2 linked regions of the Notamacropus eugenii genome follow. The protein of the gene in region 2 purifies or fractionates together with the protein of the main gene of each other region. This does not show direct contact. Links are inferred from orthologs where the notes say so. Each region holds a gene or a part of one and is shown on either strand. Other genes may lie near its edges.

Evidence for each region. The genes of interacting proteins can lie anywhere in the genome.
Region 1: the proteins of TACC3 (region 2) and SLAIN2 purify together in Homo sapiens (co-immunoprecipitation; 3 studies listed by BioGRID and IntAct, counting the BioPlex papers as one, with this or other methods). This does not show direct contact. The link is inferred for Notamacropus eugenii from reciprocal best matches to the Homo sapiens genes TACC3 and SLAIN2.

The regions. Positions count from the first base shown.
Region 1 is NC_092877.1:102,737,749-102,744,975, reverse strand, and holds the start of SLAIN2 (SLAIN motif-containing protein 2), read right to left. Parts: upstream 3,002-7,227; 5' UTR 2,614-3,001; coding exon 2,222-2,613; intron 1-2,221.
Region 2 is NC_092877.1:50,058,992-50,066,476, forward strand, and holds the start of TACC3 (transforming acidic coiled-coil-containing protein 3), read left to right. Parts: upstream 1-4,444; 5' UTR 4,445-4,691; intron 4,692-6,980; exon of another isoform or gene 6,981-7,040; intron 7,041-7,485. UniProt on the Homo sapiens protein: Plays a role in the microtubule-dependent coupling of the nucleus and the centrosome. Involved in the processes that regulate centrosome-mediated interkinetic nuclear migration (INM) of neural progenitors.

The DNA of each region.
Region 1 (7,227 bases), about 53 Mb from region 2:
AATAACCTTGGGAAGTAGGTACCAGTATTACCCATTTAAAATTGAAGGAACTGAGGCAAACAGAGATTAAGTGACTTGCCCAACATCACAGGGCTAGTGTCCAAGGCTGGATCTGCTCTCAAGTCTTCCAGGCCTGGCACTCTACACTCTGTCAGTTAACTGCTTTCCAGCTAGGAGACCAAAAGTTTATGAAAACAAATATGTAATTTCTTCCCCATCTAAGTTCAGAGAACTCCCTGAAATTTACCCATGTGCCTTGGGGTTTGTGAATCCTGGAGCTCCTACCTGTAGTGTTTATTATATGTGCTATGCATTGTTTTTTCAATTCAGTTCAACATTTATATTCAGCATGGCATGATGAACAGTGCTGGCCTCAAAACCAGAAAGACTTGGGTTCAAGTTCTGCCTCTATCCTTGTGTCCAGCTGTAAGAGTCTGAACATGTCACTTAGCCTCTCAGAATTTTAAAGAGCTCTCTAGGACCATTAAGTTGCATAGTAGGTGCTGGACTGCAGTCTAATTCCTAACTTGTGTGCATGGGCACTGGGAAAGATAAAGGATACAAATACAAAAAGAGAGGGGTGGGTGTCCTGTTTTTAAGGCCCTTAAAAATCTATTTGAGGAAGTGTGTTAGTGTGCTGTATTCAGCAGAAAGAAAGCTAGAGTTACTACACATAAGATTTTGGGCAAGTCCTTCCCTTCTTCACCTGAGTGTTCCTTATCTGTAAAATAAAGATAGCAGTAGTACTTGTACTACCTACCTCACAGAATTATTTTATTGTGGACAAATTGTTCTTCACCACTTACTAACTGTACAATAAACTTGGAGCAAGACACCATACCTCTCTGGGGCAAGTTTCCTAACATGAAAAAGAGGATGGGGGTGTTGGGCTAAGTGACCTCTAATATTCCTTCCAACTTTAACTCCTTTAATCCTAAATCTTAAGGAACTCTTATCATTTAAGCTATTGAGACTTTTCAGTATTATTTTACGGGGCTTGTTTCTTTTACTCAACAGGAATAAAAGTTGGGGCGATGTCTAACGCTTCTCTTTTACCCCACACAGGAGAAGGTAGCATGCTGTGGAGGACAGGGAACAGATTTGGAAGTCAGGTAGACTTAGGCTCAATTTTGCCTTAGACCCTTACTTCGCTGTATAACTGCAGAAGTCATTTTACTTCTGTCCTCTTCAGTTTGCTCATCGGTAAAAAAAAGGCGCTGGATTCCAAGGTTCCTTCCAGCTCTAAATCTATGACCTAGCTCAGTAAATAGATGCTCAATACCGAAATCTGCCAACAGACGCTGCCTAATTCTGTCAAAGATTGCACTAATTCTGAAACCTCTATTTTAACCAAAAAGGAGAAAACATTTCAATGTTAAAAAGAGTAAGTCCTGAAATGATGAATTCATGAATAAAAGTTCCCCTAACGCCCAGAAGAGATTCTTTCAAGCGTTTACGAGGGATGGAAGTGATTTTTAAGGTGTGGGTCATTGCTTTCCTCGAGGGACAGGAAGCTTCAACAAGCCTCTCTTACCTGCCCTAGAATAATATGAAAGTGACGAGTAAAGGTGGTAACTCTTCACAACCTTGAGAACTACCCCAATTCTTGAATAAACACGGAAGGAGCAAACAAATGAGTAGCCAAAAGATACGAGGGAGGCCCGTCTTTGGTTCTCTGCACAAAGCAGCCCCGTCCTCTGCCCCCATCACATAAAGCGAAGCGAAGCTCGGGGTCCCCAAAGGGGGGTCCAGTTTCACACCATCTTCCTCCCTTTCTGGCCACCCACACCAGTCATGCCAAAGTCTCACGCTTTCCACGCGGACTCGGACCCTTTCGCACCAAAAGGAGAGAGGGTCCAGCTTGTCCCCAAGAGCCAAGTTCAGTGACTTCTCATCGAGCACGCCCCTCCCCAAGTTCCTTCGCCGACACCCTAATTCCCAGGCCGCCCTCCTCGAGCCACACAAAGCGGGGACCCTGCCTACTCTGCCCCCGTTGCAGCACCGCCAGTGCTAGTGCCAACAACTCAGTCCAGGTCTCCACCCGCGCCCCTCCCAGCAGACGTGTGCTTTTCTTCTCATCTTTTGGCTCAGGCGACCCTTGCCCCCAGGCCAGTCTCCAGAAAAGAAAAGCGAGGGAGGTCTCCCGAGACAAAGCCCGGCCTGGGCCCGGGGGCAGTCGGTTGCACAGCCCCCGCCCCGCCCCACGAGCGCCCCGGCTCACCAGCTCTCCTCCTCCTCCCAGCCCAAGAGGCGCTCCAGCTCGTCAGGCCGCAGCGGCTCCACCTCGTCCAGCACGCTGCCCTCGCCGGCCGCCAGCAGGGACGCGCTCCCGTCCCGCAGCTCCTCGCTGCTCGTCCGCCTCAGGCCCGGCCCGGCCCCGGTCGCCGCCGCCGCCGCCTTGGAGCTCAGGCCCAGCGGGAAGCCTCGGGGAGACGCGGTCCCGGAGGCGGCGGCGGAGCCGCGGCCGGGGCTGCCCTGCGCGGCGGGGGCGGCTGCCTGCGCGGCCCCCGAGCGGCTCCTCAGCTGCTCGTTCTGCTTCTCCAGCTTCTTCACCAGCTCCTGCAGCTTCCGCACCTCCTGGTCCGCGTTCACGTTGGAGTTAACGTCCTCCATGCCGGCCCCGCGGCCCCCGCCGCCGCCGCCCTCCTCAGACACCAGCCGCCGACGGGAGGAAGGAGCAGGAGGCCTGCCGCGTCGCCGTCCCGGCCCCGGCCCCGCCGCCGCTCTTCCGCGCTCTACCCGAGGCGCCGGCACATAGCAGGGGCGGGCACCGCCGCCAGGGTCGCCCCAGCTCGGGTTCCGAAGCGCCGCTGGCCCCGACCGAGCCGCCTCATCTGCGCCGGCTCAGGACTTGGGGGAGGCGGCGCCAACATCCGGCCCCCGCAGCCATCTTCCATCCGTTCCTCCGCCCCCTCGGCCCCGTCGGTGACTTCAGCACGCTCTCGGACGTGGCCGCCGGCCGCCCTCAGCAGTTGCCCAAATGCAGCTCAGCCAGGGCTGAGGGCGGGGCTGCCAGGCCCGTCGACCCGGATGGGGCGACGCGCACGCACGCACCGAGTTCTCTCTCACCCGCCCAGCTGGGGGGAGGGGCCGACAGGGGCGGGGGGCGGGGCCTGGACCCGAAGGGAGGCGGGGCCACGCTGCAGGGGCTGGGGGTGGGGTCCTGGCCAATCCAGTGTAGGTGGATCTGGCCGGCGCCGCGCTGCGTGGAGTCACCTGGCAGATGCGCCCCACCAGGTGCGAAATCGCTGGAAGAACCGCCTCAACTCGATCTGCCAGACCTCTGGGGGCGGAGCCGAGGCAAGAGGGCACCTCCCATTGTGACTGAGCTGGCGTGGTGGCCTGCCAAGACCCCCGACTCCAAAGGGTGACCTCAGTTTCCCTTCTATGAAAAAGAGCGGGATGTGATTGAAGGAAGCCTTGAAACATCTGTATGTAGAACCAGAACGATCGTGCAACAACCACGTTATAAAGACAAACAACTTTGAAAGACTTAGACACTGATCGGGGCAATGACCAACCAAGATTCCAAAGCGGTGATAGGGGAGCATGCTCCCCACCTCCTGATAGGGACGTGTCGGACTCGGGGTGCAGAAAAGCGCACACTTTATACTGGACTTGTATTGGAATTTGTTTTGCTTGCCTATGCACATTTGTGATACGGGTTTTTTTTTCCTTAACTCAGGGGAGAAAAAAATAGATTTCTAAGTGAGAAAAAAGAATTTTTAATTCAAAAAAACATTTACAAGTTTTAAAAACGATCATGTAGAATCATTGGCCCATCCATTCCCAAAATTCTTATCTAATGTGATCCCTGGAAAGTCTCGAGCTTAGGAAATGAGGAAATGATCAAAGAAAATCCCCTTCAAACCCTCTTTTATTTTTTCTAGCTATTTGTTGAAATAAGGTCCTTTTTGAAAGAACCTATTCTTATAGGCTGGATTCCACGCCCAAACACTGTACCCAGTGGACAAACTCTCCCGTTGCAATAACGTCCCCACCCTCAGCTTTGTTGCTTCAATGCCTGGCACCACCCGACCCACGTTTGCCCTACTTATTATATTGCGGGTCATGTTCACTTTCCCTTTCTCTAACATAGAAGTCCCTGTTGTTTGTACCATTGCTTAGGCTGCACTTACATATAAAATATATATATATATCTTTATGAAAATTAAACGTCAATATGATACACAAGTTGTTACTAAACTGATGAAAAGTATTTTGGAAGTTAAGAGTCTCATTTCTAAACTGCACTGTAGTTAAGGATACTTTGTTATTTATCCACTATGCAAATTTGTTACTAGCCTAGACTTGTATTAGAGACAGCTGGGATTTTCTTAAACTTTTTTAGTGTTTTGATTCTGTCATTCCAATTGGAGATGAAATCTAAGCTGCCTAACAGTGGGTGTTTCCTGGCAATTGAATCAGCTACTCCACTATCCTCACCCACTTAACAAACTATGATCAAATCCTATTTCAAATGGGTTTGGATTTTCCAGGCAGGTAAATATACTTTTTTTCTGCAGCGAAGCCTTTGCATGTTAATTCCTCTGTGTCCTTAACTTTTCCATTTGAAACTCTGCTGAAATAACTCCACTAACCTCTAGTGCCTTTACTTATTCTAGTATACTCTGCAGCCCACAAGGCCCCTTCTCACAAAGGACATAGATCAGGATTTGTCCGAGATCTCTGCCCCTGACCTCATGCTGACTGTGGAGAAATATCTTAAGGCAAAGGTAGGTAGTAATGAGTGTGTCACCTCCTTAGTTCATGCACAATGAACTTCCTGATTTCCATTCCAACACAAGGAAACATACCTAATGGGAAAAAAAGAACCTTCACCCTCTTTCCCATCCCAGCATCACAATGATGAAAAATCTTTTAATTGATTCCTGAACCAGAACTGAATGTGCAAAAAAAAAAAAAAAGTTTGAGCTGATGACCTGTACCTCTCTTCCCTGGCATCTTTGAATGTGGAGGACTTCCAAGATCAAGGAGAAGTAGCATGCCCTCCCTCCTAATCTATCCCTGAATTCTTGACATGGACCTTCTGTTTCTCCTTTCCTAATCTTAGGGAAATGAAAGATAAACAGAATTGAATAGATGACACCCTTGTGAGCTTTGAAAGGTTGGAAGGACTATCCCAGATCACCCTCAGCAGCCAGAATAGATAGCAAAAAAAACCCCTGAGGCTAGTCACAGCAGCTGAGCCCAGGGAAGCAGCCAATCTCAGCACCAAGGGTAAGTACAGCTGCTGCCCCATCCCAAGCAGATTTGGTGGGGACTCCTTATAGAGAGAAAAGGACTCCCAGGGCTAGAAGTCTTGAGATGCTTCTTGATCCTACATGTTCTTTACACGTGTCTGTGAGGAAAATATAGATTATTATTTATTAATTTTGTTTGAACCTAGCTTTATGTGGCTAGAAAATTGTGTAATCCAAAATTACTGTAGAGGTCAGAGCCCCTCCAAGGAAGATGGATGGCTGAAGGGAATGCTTAGATCCCACCCAAGTCTTGTTTGGGTCCACTAAACTTGTTTTGAATTTTCCAGATTTGAATGTTTATACTTACCTGCTGATATATATATCTCAAGCTACTTAGTTCTGACAATTGCATTATCTAGTGTGGCCAGTCAGTCTAGTCTGAACTCTCAGTAAAGTCGCAAAGAAATGAGGAAGGAGCCACACCTTTTCCCAGCCCTCTCCTTTTCTAAATGACCTAATAAAATCCAAAACCTATTTCAGGTTTTGGGGTTTATTCTCTACTGAGATTTGCTAACATGCCGCACTAACATAATTATTTAAAGTTTGAGCCCACTCTCCCCAGGAACCAGTATGTGCAGAGGGGAGAGAGTTTGTCTCCTGTTTAAAGGGGATATTTTATAACTTGTGTTCTACTATCCTTTCTTAATAAATTCCCTTTTGTAAAAGTTAATTGATGAATTTATTTATTCAGTGCCATACCAAACTACCAAAAAGCATTTTATAGAGATACACAAAATAATAACAAAATTCATCTGGAAAAACAAGGTCAAGAATATCAAGAGAATCAATGAATAAAAATGTGAAGGAAGTACCTAGCAGTACCAGATCTCAAGCTGTATTACAAAGCAGTAATTATCAAAACAGTCTGGTACTAGCTAAGAAACAGAGGGGTAGATGAGTGGAATAGGTTAGGTATATAAGACATAACAGTCAATGACTATGGTAATCTACTGTTTGTTAAACCCAGTTTCTGGGATAAGAACTCACTATTTGACAAAAACCACTGGGAAAACTGGAAAATAATATGGCAGAAACTATGCATAGACCAACAACTTACACTGCATACTAAGATAAGGTCAAAATGAGAACAGGATTTAGACATAAAGAGTGAAGATCAGATTTTTTGATGTCTTGGGGAGAGGGGTGGGAATGGAGGGAGAAAAAATTTGGAGCTCAAAATCTTACAAAATTGAATGTTGAAAACACTCTTTACATGTAATTGGAAAAAAATAAAATATTATTAAGTGGGGTGGGGGGAGAGAAGAAATATCCTTTTCTGAAAAGAGAATGAGAATTCTCCTTTCTCTTTATCTCCATTTCTCCCTAGTTTCCTTATCTGGTTCCCCTGTCAATGGAAATTTGAATACACTTGTCCCCTTGGCAACCAGCAGTTTTGCAATTATTTTAAGACACAAAGATACTCAATTTATACAGATTTTAAGAGTTTGAATGACTATCAGGGGCCATGAAATCCAACTTACACTTGAATAGGAATTACTTCTATGCCATCACTAAAAAAGTACACATCCATCCTTTCCTTGACAACTGCTGCTAACATTTCATAAGGGGATTTGAAATTCAAAAGCATTTTAATCAATATTAAAGAAAGAATCTTTCTATGTATTTTTAAAATAAAGCTGTTTCATCACAGGAAAAAAAAAAGAAATAGAAGGGTGGATCAGTGGAATAGATCAGGTATACAATACACAGTAGTAAATGACCATTGTAATCTAGTGTTTGATAAATGCCCCAAATCCAAGCTTTTGTGACAAAAATTGCTGGGAAAATTGGAAAGCAGTTTGGCAGACACTAGGTATAGAAGTGAGCCCATCTAACAAGCCCCCAACAGTGAGAAACATGCTGACCTTAAACAAAGAACAATACCTGTTGTGAAATCAGGAAAGCCTTTGTTAGTTTTTACATCCATTCTGGACAGATAGCCTCCCCAGTAAGGTTACAGGAA
Region 2 (7,485 bases):
ATTCCTATTCAGGAACTTCATTTCAGCTAAAATGGGCTATTAACTATGCCACAAACTTGACATTTCATCTTCCACCCCCATGTGTTTGTACACACATTCCTTTTTGCCTGGAATGTTCCCTCTTTCTCATTTTTGCATCTCCAAATCCTTACCTTCCTTCAAGGCCTCAATAGAGGTCACCTGGATTTTCTTATTTACTACTGCCTTCTCTCCTCTCCTCAAACTAACTTGTAAAAAAAAAAATAACTTTACTTGTGTCTATATTGTATCCTCTTAGGATAGTATAAATTCCTTGCAGGCAAAGGCAGTCAGTTATTCAAAAAGTCAACCAGCAAACATTTATTGAGCATCTATGATAGTCATTGGAAAACAGACCAAATTGAGAGTGCTTGCTCTTGATAAATAAATACAAAGTAATTGGGAGAGACACAAACAACTGGGAAAATGAGGAAAGGCCATGTAAAGGATGTGGCACTGAGATTAACTGCCATCTCTATGCAAATGACTCACAGGCTCTCCCTTGAGCTTGTAGTCCCATATCACTAATCCCCCACAGGAAATTTCAAACTGAATGTCCTGCAGATATCTTCAACTCAACATGTCCAAACTAGAACTCGTTATTCCCCTCCACCATCCCCAGGAAAAAAATCAACCAAAAAACCCAACTCCTCCCCTCTCTCAAACTTCCTTATTTCAGTGGAAATTGCATGCACCAACCTCCCAGTCTCCTCAACTCCTTATTGTCCTTAGGGCCAAGGATCTGATGAGGTTTGAGGAGTGCTGGGGACCCTGAAATACCGACACGCCAGGTCCTGCTCAAATGAATTCGACTCAAGACTTCTTTAAATCAAAGAAAACCAAAGTTTATTAAAGATTCACCACCTTAGGTTGACTCTTTAGGAGCCTAAGATTTATAATACTTGTATTCACAAGCAGTCGAGATAGAATCTCAGCTAGGCAGAGTCTGAGCTGGACTGAATCTGAATGCCTTCATGGAGGCGAGATGGAACTTAAATACAGAAAAAGACTGAGGGAAGAATCCAGGTGTCACCAGGTAATCTCAGGTCCCAGGGGTGGTCTAGATAGATTAAACCCAGAGAGGAGTGTCTGGTAATACGATCAAAGGGAGGCATATCAAAAATGCTAAATAGAAGATAGGGAGTATGTGGCCTGGGAGAAATGGAAGGGGAATCCAAGGAGCCATCCCCCAAAAGCCAGACTTCCCAGCAACTCTTCCGATCCAAGGGAAAAAGGTCTTGGGTTGGGCTTGTACCCCATCAGATCCAATCAGTTAACAAATCTTCATAGTTCTGTTTTCACAATAACTCTCACATTGCCACCCCTTCTCTTGACTCACCCAGCCATCACCCTAATTCAGACTCCCTATTTCTCTTTTGAATATGACCAATTCAGAGACACAAAGGAACACTTGTATGAACTGATGTCTACAGTGAAATAAGCAAAAACAAGAAAATGATATATGTGATGACTACAGTCATGTAAACAAAAATGACACTAAAAATTAGTCAAAATCTGATAAACTGTATCACCAATTTTGGTCTGAGGTTCAGGGACTACTAGAATGGAATGTTTCATGATTGGTTGTTGTGCCAATTTGTTTCGCTGAGTTGTTTTTTTTTTTCTTTGGTGACAAAAGAAGTCAACGGTGGTGGGGAAGTGAACTGAGAAATAATGGTGGTGTAGAACAAAAGGAATCAAAAACTGAAAAAAGAGAGGCCAAGTGTTGCTACATGAGCAAGACAGAACAAAAACTGTGGCATGATATTGAATTTTGTAGTCCAGTTTGGCTGAAGTATATGAACAAATGGCCCCAGATGGCTTAGTGGATAGAATTCGAGGCCTGGAGTCAGGAAGACTTCTTGAGTTCAAATTCTGCCTCAAATACTATGTGACCCAAGCAAGTCAATTAACCCTGCTTTTACCTCAGTTTCCTTATCTGTAAAATGAACTAGAAAAGGAAACCACTCCAGTATCTTTGCCAAGAAAACCCGAAATGGGGTCACAAAAAGTCAGATAGGACTGAAATGACTGAACAAAAAGCCTTCTGCGGTCCCTTCCAGCTATAAAGTTCTATGAATTATTTCTTCACTATGCTGACCAAATACATTATCTGAATCGCCCTCTTGTGGTGACTTGTCTGATGGACATATATAGTTTTATCGTCTTCCTCTGTGAAAAGCTACTTCTGCGGGAAAGCAAAAATGATACAGTATTGGAAATCATTAGGATCCTTATTCGGGGGGTCTGTGAACTTGTCTTTTTTTTTTAAATTTTGATTACTGTATTTTAATATAATTGCTTTTCTTTATATGGCTGTTTTATTGTTTTAATTTAAAATTTAAAAAATTAATTTTTAAATTCTAAACTTAATTTTAAATATTTTTTTATTTTTAACTTAAAATTACAAAATTAGAAAAGAAAAAAACTATTGCCATGTACATAGCTGAGCATAAGAGAGGATTCAATATAAGACAAATTTCCATATAAAATACATATATATGTAAGACCATACTATGCTTATTTTCTTCCATCATCTGTTTTTCTGAAGGTGTATAGCATCTTCCTTCCTAAGTCTAAGTCTCTATGTTTTTCTAAATCAATCAGCTCATCATTTCCTACATCACAGCAATATTCCAACCTGTTTACATCCTATCCGAGGGATTGTCTATGAAAGTTTTTTCCTGATTTTCTGCATTCTTGGCTACATAGGTTTTATTTATAGAAGAAAATTTCAACTTAAAATAATTGAAATTATCTTTTTGACACTTCAACAATGCTCTCACCTTACACTTTAAGGTTTGATACTACCAAATCTACTTCCTTTACATCTTTTTCCCCCAGGTTTCCTTAAAGTTTCTGACCTTTTGTTCTTCCAAATGAACTTTGTTATATTTTTTTAACTCAATAATTTTTTTTTAGTAATTTAGTTGGGATGGCACTGAATACGGAGATTAGTTAGGTAAAACTGTCATTCTAAAAATTATATTGGCTTTACTTACCCATGAACAATAAATATTACTTCAATTATTTAGATCTGCATTTATTTCTATAAAAAGCATTTTATATTTATGTTCATATAGTTGTGGTGTCTATTTTGGCAGGAATACACTCAGGTATTTTATATAATCTAGGTATTTTAAATGGTCACTCTAAAACTATTGAATAATATTGCTGACACAGAGTATTTTTCACTTTTGATTAAATCTATTTTAACTTTAACTTTGAGATGATTACTATTCCTGCTTTTTTTACACATTAAATTCTACTCTTGCCTTTTATTTTATCTTTGTGTCTATCTCTCACTTTTATAAAGTTTCCTGAAAGCAACTTATTGCTGAATTCAGATTTTTAATTGTTGTCCTTTCAGTTTTATGGGTAAATTAGTCCCCTTCACATTCTGAGTTACAATTACTTGTTATGCAGCCATGGTTTTAAAGGACAGTGAGCAAAGTGTTCTCTTTGAGTGTAATTTATGGGCTTTATAAAGCCAGGGAATCTGGCTTTATCTGTTTGTATTTGAGAAGAAAGAAAAAGGCAGCATAGCAGATCACAGAGTCCAGGACCAGAAGTCAGGACATTCGTGACCAATCACAATTTGGCTGCTCAGTTGCTTTGTGACCTTAGATAAATCACTTTCCCTTTCTGATCCTCCTGGTAAAGGAGAATTTTGGGAAGTGTCTTTGAAAGTGTCAGGGAAGTGCCAAGACTCCCAGCTGGGGAAAGTGAAATGTGAGTTTTCGTTTTGGGGGGAATGTATCTGTGAATACATTAGTGCTCCCTCCTGTTAGCACAGATTGCCACTAAAGTCAGACATGAAAGAGTGTTGCAAAATAGGTAAAATTACGCCACTCTTCAATCTTTTTTGAAAAGTTATTTTTCATAAAAATGTTTATGTTACTTCGAATGTTTACTGTTGTTTTAATTGAATTAATAAAGATTTTAAGTTTGTTAGTTTTAATTTCAAACGTAAAAAATCTATATTAAATATGCAAACATACAAAAATTAAATACGTAGCGAAGGCTGTGTCCCACTAAAAGAAATCCTTTGGGGTCCTCAACAGTTTTGAAGCTGGTAAAGACCAAAAAGTTTGAAAGCTGCGGCACCCATCAGGAGGCCTACTTCTCTAGTTATCATTATAACGAATATTATTACTCGTACGTTTAAACGATGTAGCTTATACACATTTGCCGCATATTTTCAGCATCTTTTTAATGGCATAGAATCTTTATAGCTTCCCTACATAGCAGGGCCACTTCTCGACTTCATTTCCCAGCCTTTACCGCGCGACCGGAAACGGAACTTTCGTAAGCGCCAATTGGCTCCCAGCACTACCACTTCCTCCGAACGACTGGAAGGTACCCGCGGACAAAGGAGCGCAGGGAAGGAGGCGGGGCTCAGCGGCTACGCACCCGTGGAAGCAACGGAGTCTGCGCGTGTCCTCCTCTGCGCATGAGCTTCCTGATCTGCACTCTGATTGGCTGAAAGAGCTCGACCGTTCCTATTTGAATCTCGGCGGCTCGGGGGAGGAGCTGTCTAAGCATAGTCGCCGCCGTTGCTTGGGGCTCTCAGACTTGCTGCTTCTCTGCGCCCCGGCGCTTCTCCGTCCCTCTCTCGGGAGCCCTTCTCCTTCCTCGTCCGCGCTCGCGACCTGCGGGCCATAGCCTGGCAGGTAGGAACGTCGTGCCTCCCTGGCCCTGCCCTTCTCCGTGCGAGTGGAAGGCTGTCTGAGGCGGCGAGGCCTCTCTGGAGGGCGGGCGAGTCCGGGTCTCTGCGAGCTGCGGGGAGCGGTGGGGGTGGGGAGAGGAGGAAAGGCCCCAGGATCCATCCGGGCCAACCCTGGTGTCGGCGAGACCCGAGTTCAAGTCCTGTTTCTAGCACTAAGGAGCTGGGAGCCCCGGGCACGTGTCTTAACCTCTCGGAGCCGAGGTTTCCCTGTTTTGAGGCTGAATGCACCGGGTCTCAGACACTTACTGGCGGGGTGACCTTGGGCAAGTCACTCCCCCTCCGCTCGCCCTGGTTGTCTTATGTATAAAATAGGAAGGACCACAAATGGCAATTGTAAAGCGCTTGTCTCTGTGCCTGGAACCCAGTAGGTGCTTAGTAAACCCTGATTCCCCGCACCCCCTACCCCCAGTCCATAAAAGGGATAGTAATTGTACCTACTTCTCCCTAGGTTTTTGTGAGGCTCAGTAAAGGACTCGGCAATTCTTAGAGCTCTATATAAACGCCAGTTATTAGTTATTGTTCTTATTCTAGAAAAAATATTGTAGAAAAGATATTCTAAAAAAAATTCTAGAAAAAAATTCTGCGGAGTTAAAATATGAACAGGCCAGGGCTTTTTTTGTTTGTTTGTTTTTCTGGCTCTCCTTCTCTTACTGTTCTAATGCCCTCTGAACTGTTCACAGGTGGATACAATTACTGCCTTTTGTATTTGAATAAAAGTGTTAGGTTGTCAAGTTATTTTGTGTGAACTCCAGGAGAAAGACTTCAGCACAACAGGATGATGGGAATTTCATCCTATTTTCACCTGATTTTGATCTCCTTTACTAGGACTGTTTTGGAAGGCTCTTTTCTGGGAGTGATTAGGGAAGGAGAGTGGGAATACACTCATTTGGAGAGTGATTCCTGATGTTTGTTTCCTTTTCTGTCAACTGACATTTATTAACCACCAGTTTACTATGTGCCAGACACTGGGCTAAGCTCTGGGGATGCTTAGAAAAATAAACAAACAAAAAAACTGTCCTGTGTTCTCCAGGAACTCACAGTATAATGGAAAGAAGTCATACAAACACGATGTAATCAGGATAAGTTGGGAGCAGTCTCAGAGGAAAGACACGAGAATTAAGAAGTGTTGGGAAAGTCTTCTTGCAGAAGGTGGGTGGGTCCTTAACCAAGGTTTAAAGGGAAGCTAGGGAGGGCAGGAGGGTGAAGATGCAGAGAAAGAGCATTCTAGGCATGGGGGCCGTACTGGAAATGCTGGGGAAATGCAGTACTCTGTGCCAGAAGTAGCAGGAAAAAAAATTTTTTTTTTCTTCAGTCAGAACCAGCTTTTACTGGTTCTGTGCTCTATTTTGCCTAGATTTCTGTTAACCTGGTAATAACAATATCTATATCCAAGATGACTTTAGGAACCCAAGCTTCACACTGAGTTGGGGGGCTCAGGATATTTGGGTGTACACTTAACAGAAGATTTGCTTTCATGAGCATGAACTCACATCTTTGAGGGCATAGTGCTGGTTGCCCCAGGGGCGATCTTCCTCACAGGCATGATGTATGTTAAGGTGCTTTGGGAATTAGAAATATTTGGTTTCAGATCCATCCTCTGATACTTCCTAGCTTGTGTGACTGTGGGCAAATCATTTACCTTTTTTCCCGCCTCAGTTTCTCATCTGTAAAATGGGAATAATAGTAGCATCCACATCCAGGGTGTGGGGATCCAATAAGATATTTGTAGAGAGCTTAGCACAGTGCTTGGCATATAGTAGATGCTGTGTAAATGTTACTATTATTATACATGGTTAGTTATTGTTACCTTCTCCTAGGTGGAAGATCGATAGGCACCTGAGATGAGTAAAGATAAGGTAATTTGTGAAGCCAAAGAGCCACTAGCACCTTGGGCTAGCAGGGAAGGCTTCCCAGAGCAGGTAGCACTTGAGCTGATTATTGAAGGAAGGTCAAAATTCTGAGAGGCAGAGTTGAAGGGAGTGCATTCTAGGCATGGGCAATTGGTTTGTTGAGTTTTGTGGATAGTTACTGGTTCAATTTGGTTGGAAATTCAAAAGGGAAATAACATGGGGAAAAAAAGACTGGAAAGTTAAGTTGGAGTCAGATTATAGGGGGCTTTAAATGAAGTAGCATGTGTTTCATACTAGAGGCAGTAGGAAGTCATTAGAAATTTTGAGCAGGAAAGGGACATGATTAGATCTGTCTTAGTAAGATGATTTTTGCATCTGCATAGAGCATGAATTGGAGAGAGAAGAACCTGGAAGCAGGAAGACCAATTAGGAGGTTGGTCCAGGTGAGTGTAATAAAAGCTTCAACTAGAGAGAAAGATTGATGCAAAAGATGTTTTAAAGGTCGAATCAGTAAGTTTTGGATAAAATGATTGATTTTTAAAAATTCAAATAATTCACATCCTGGCTCTGCCACTTAATTTGTGTGACCATGAACAAATTGCTTCCTTTCTTTATAATCTCCAGTGCTTTAAAGTTTGCAGGATATTTTTCTCACAACAATCTTGTTAGCTAAGTAGGGCAAGGATATTATCCTCATTTTACAGAGGAGGAAACTGAGGCTTTGAGAGGTTGTGTTTGTCTGTAAGTATTGATAATATTTAATATCATTTTTGGACTTTAATAAGGGCCAGAGCTTGAAGAAGAGCCTGGACCTAACAGTCTCTTTGTTCTCTGAAGTAAACGCAGAGAATACCTCTTCCTATGTCAACAAGGGCAGATGGGGCTGAC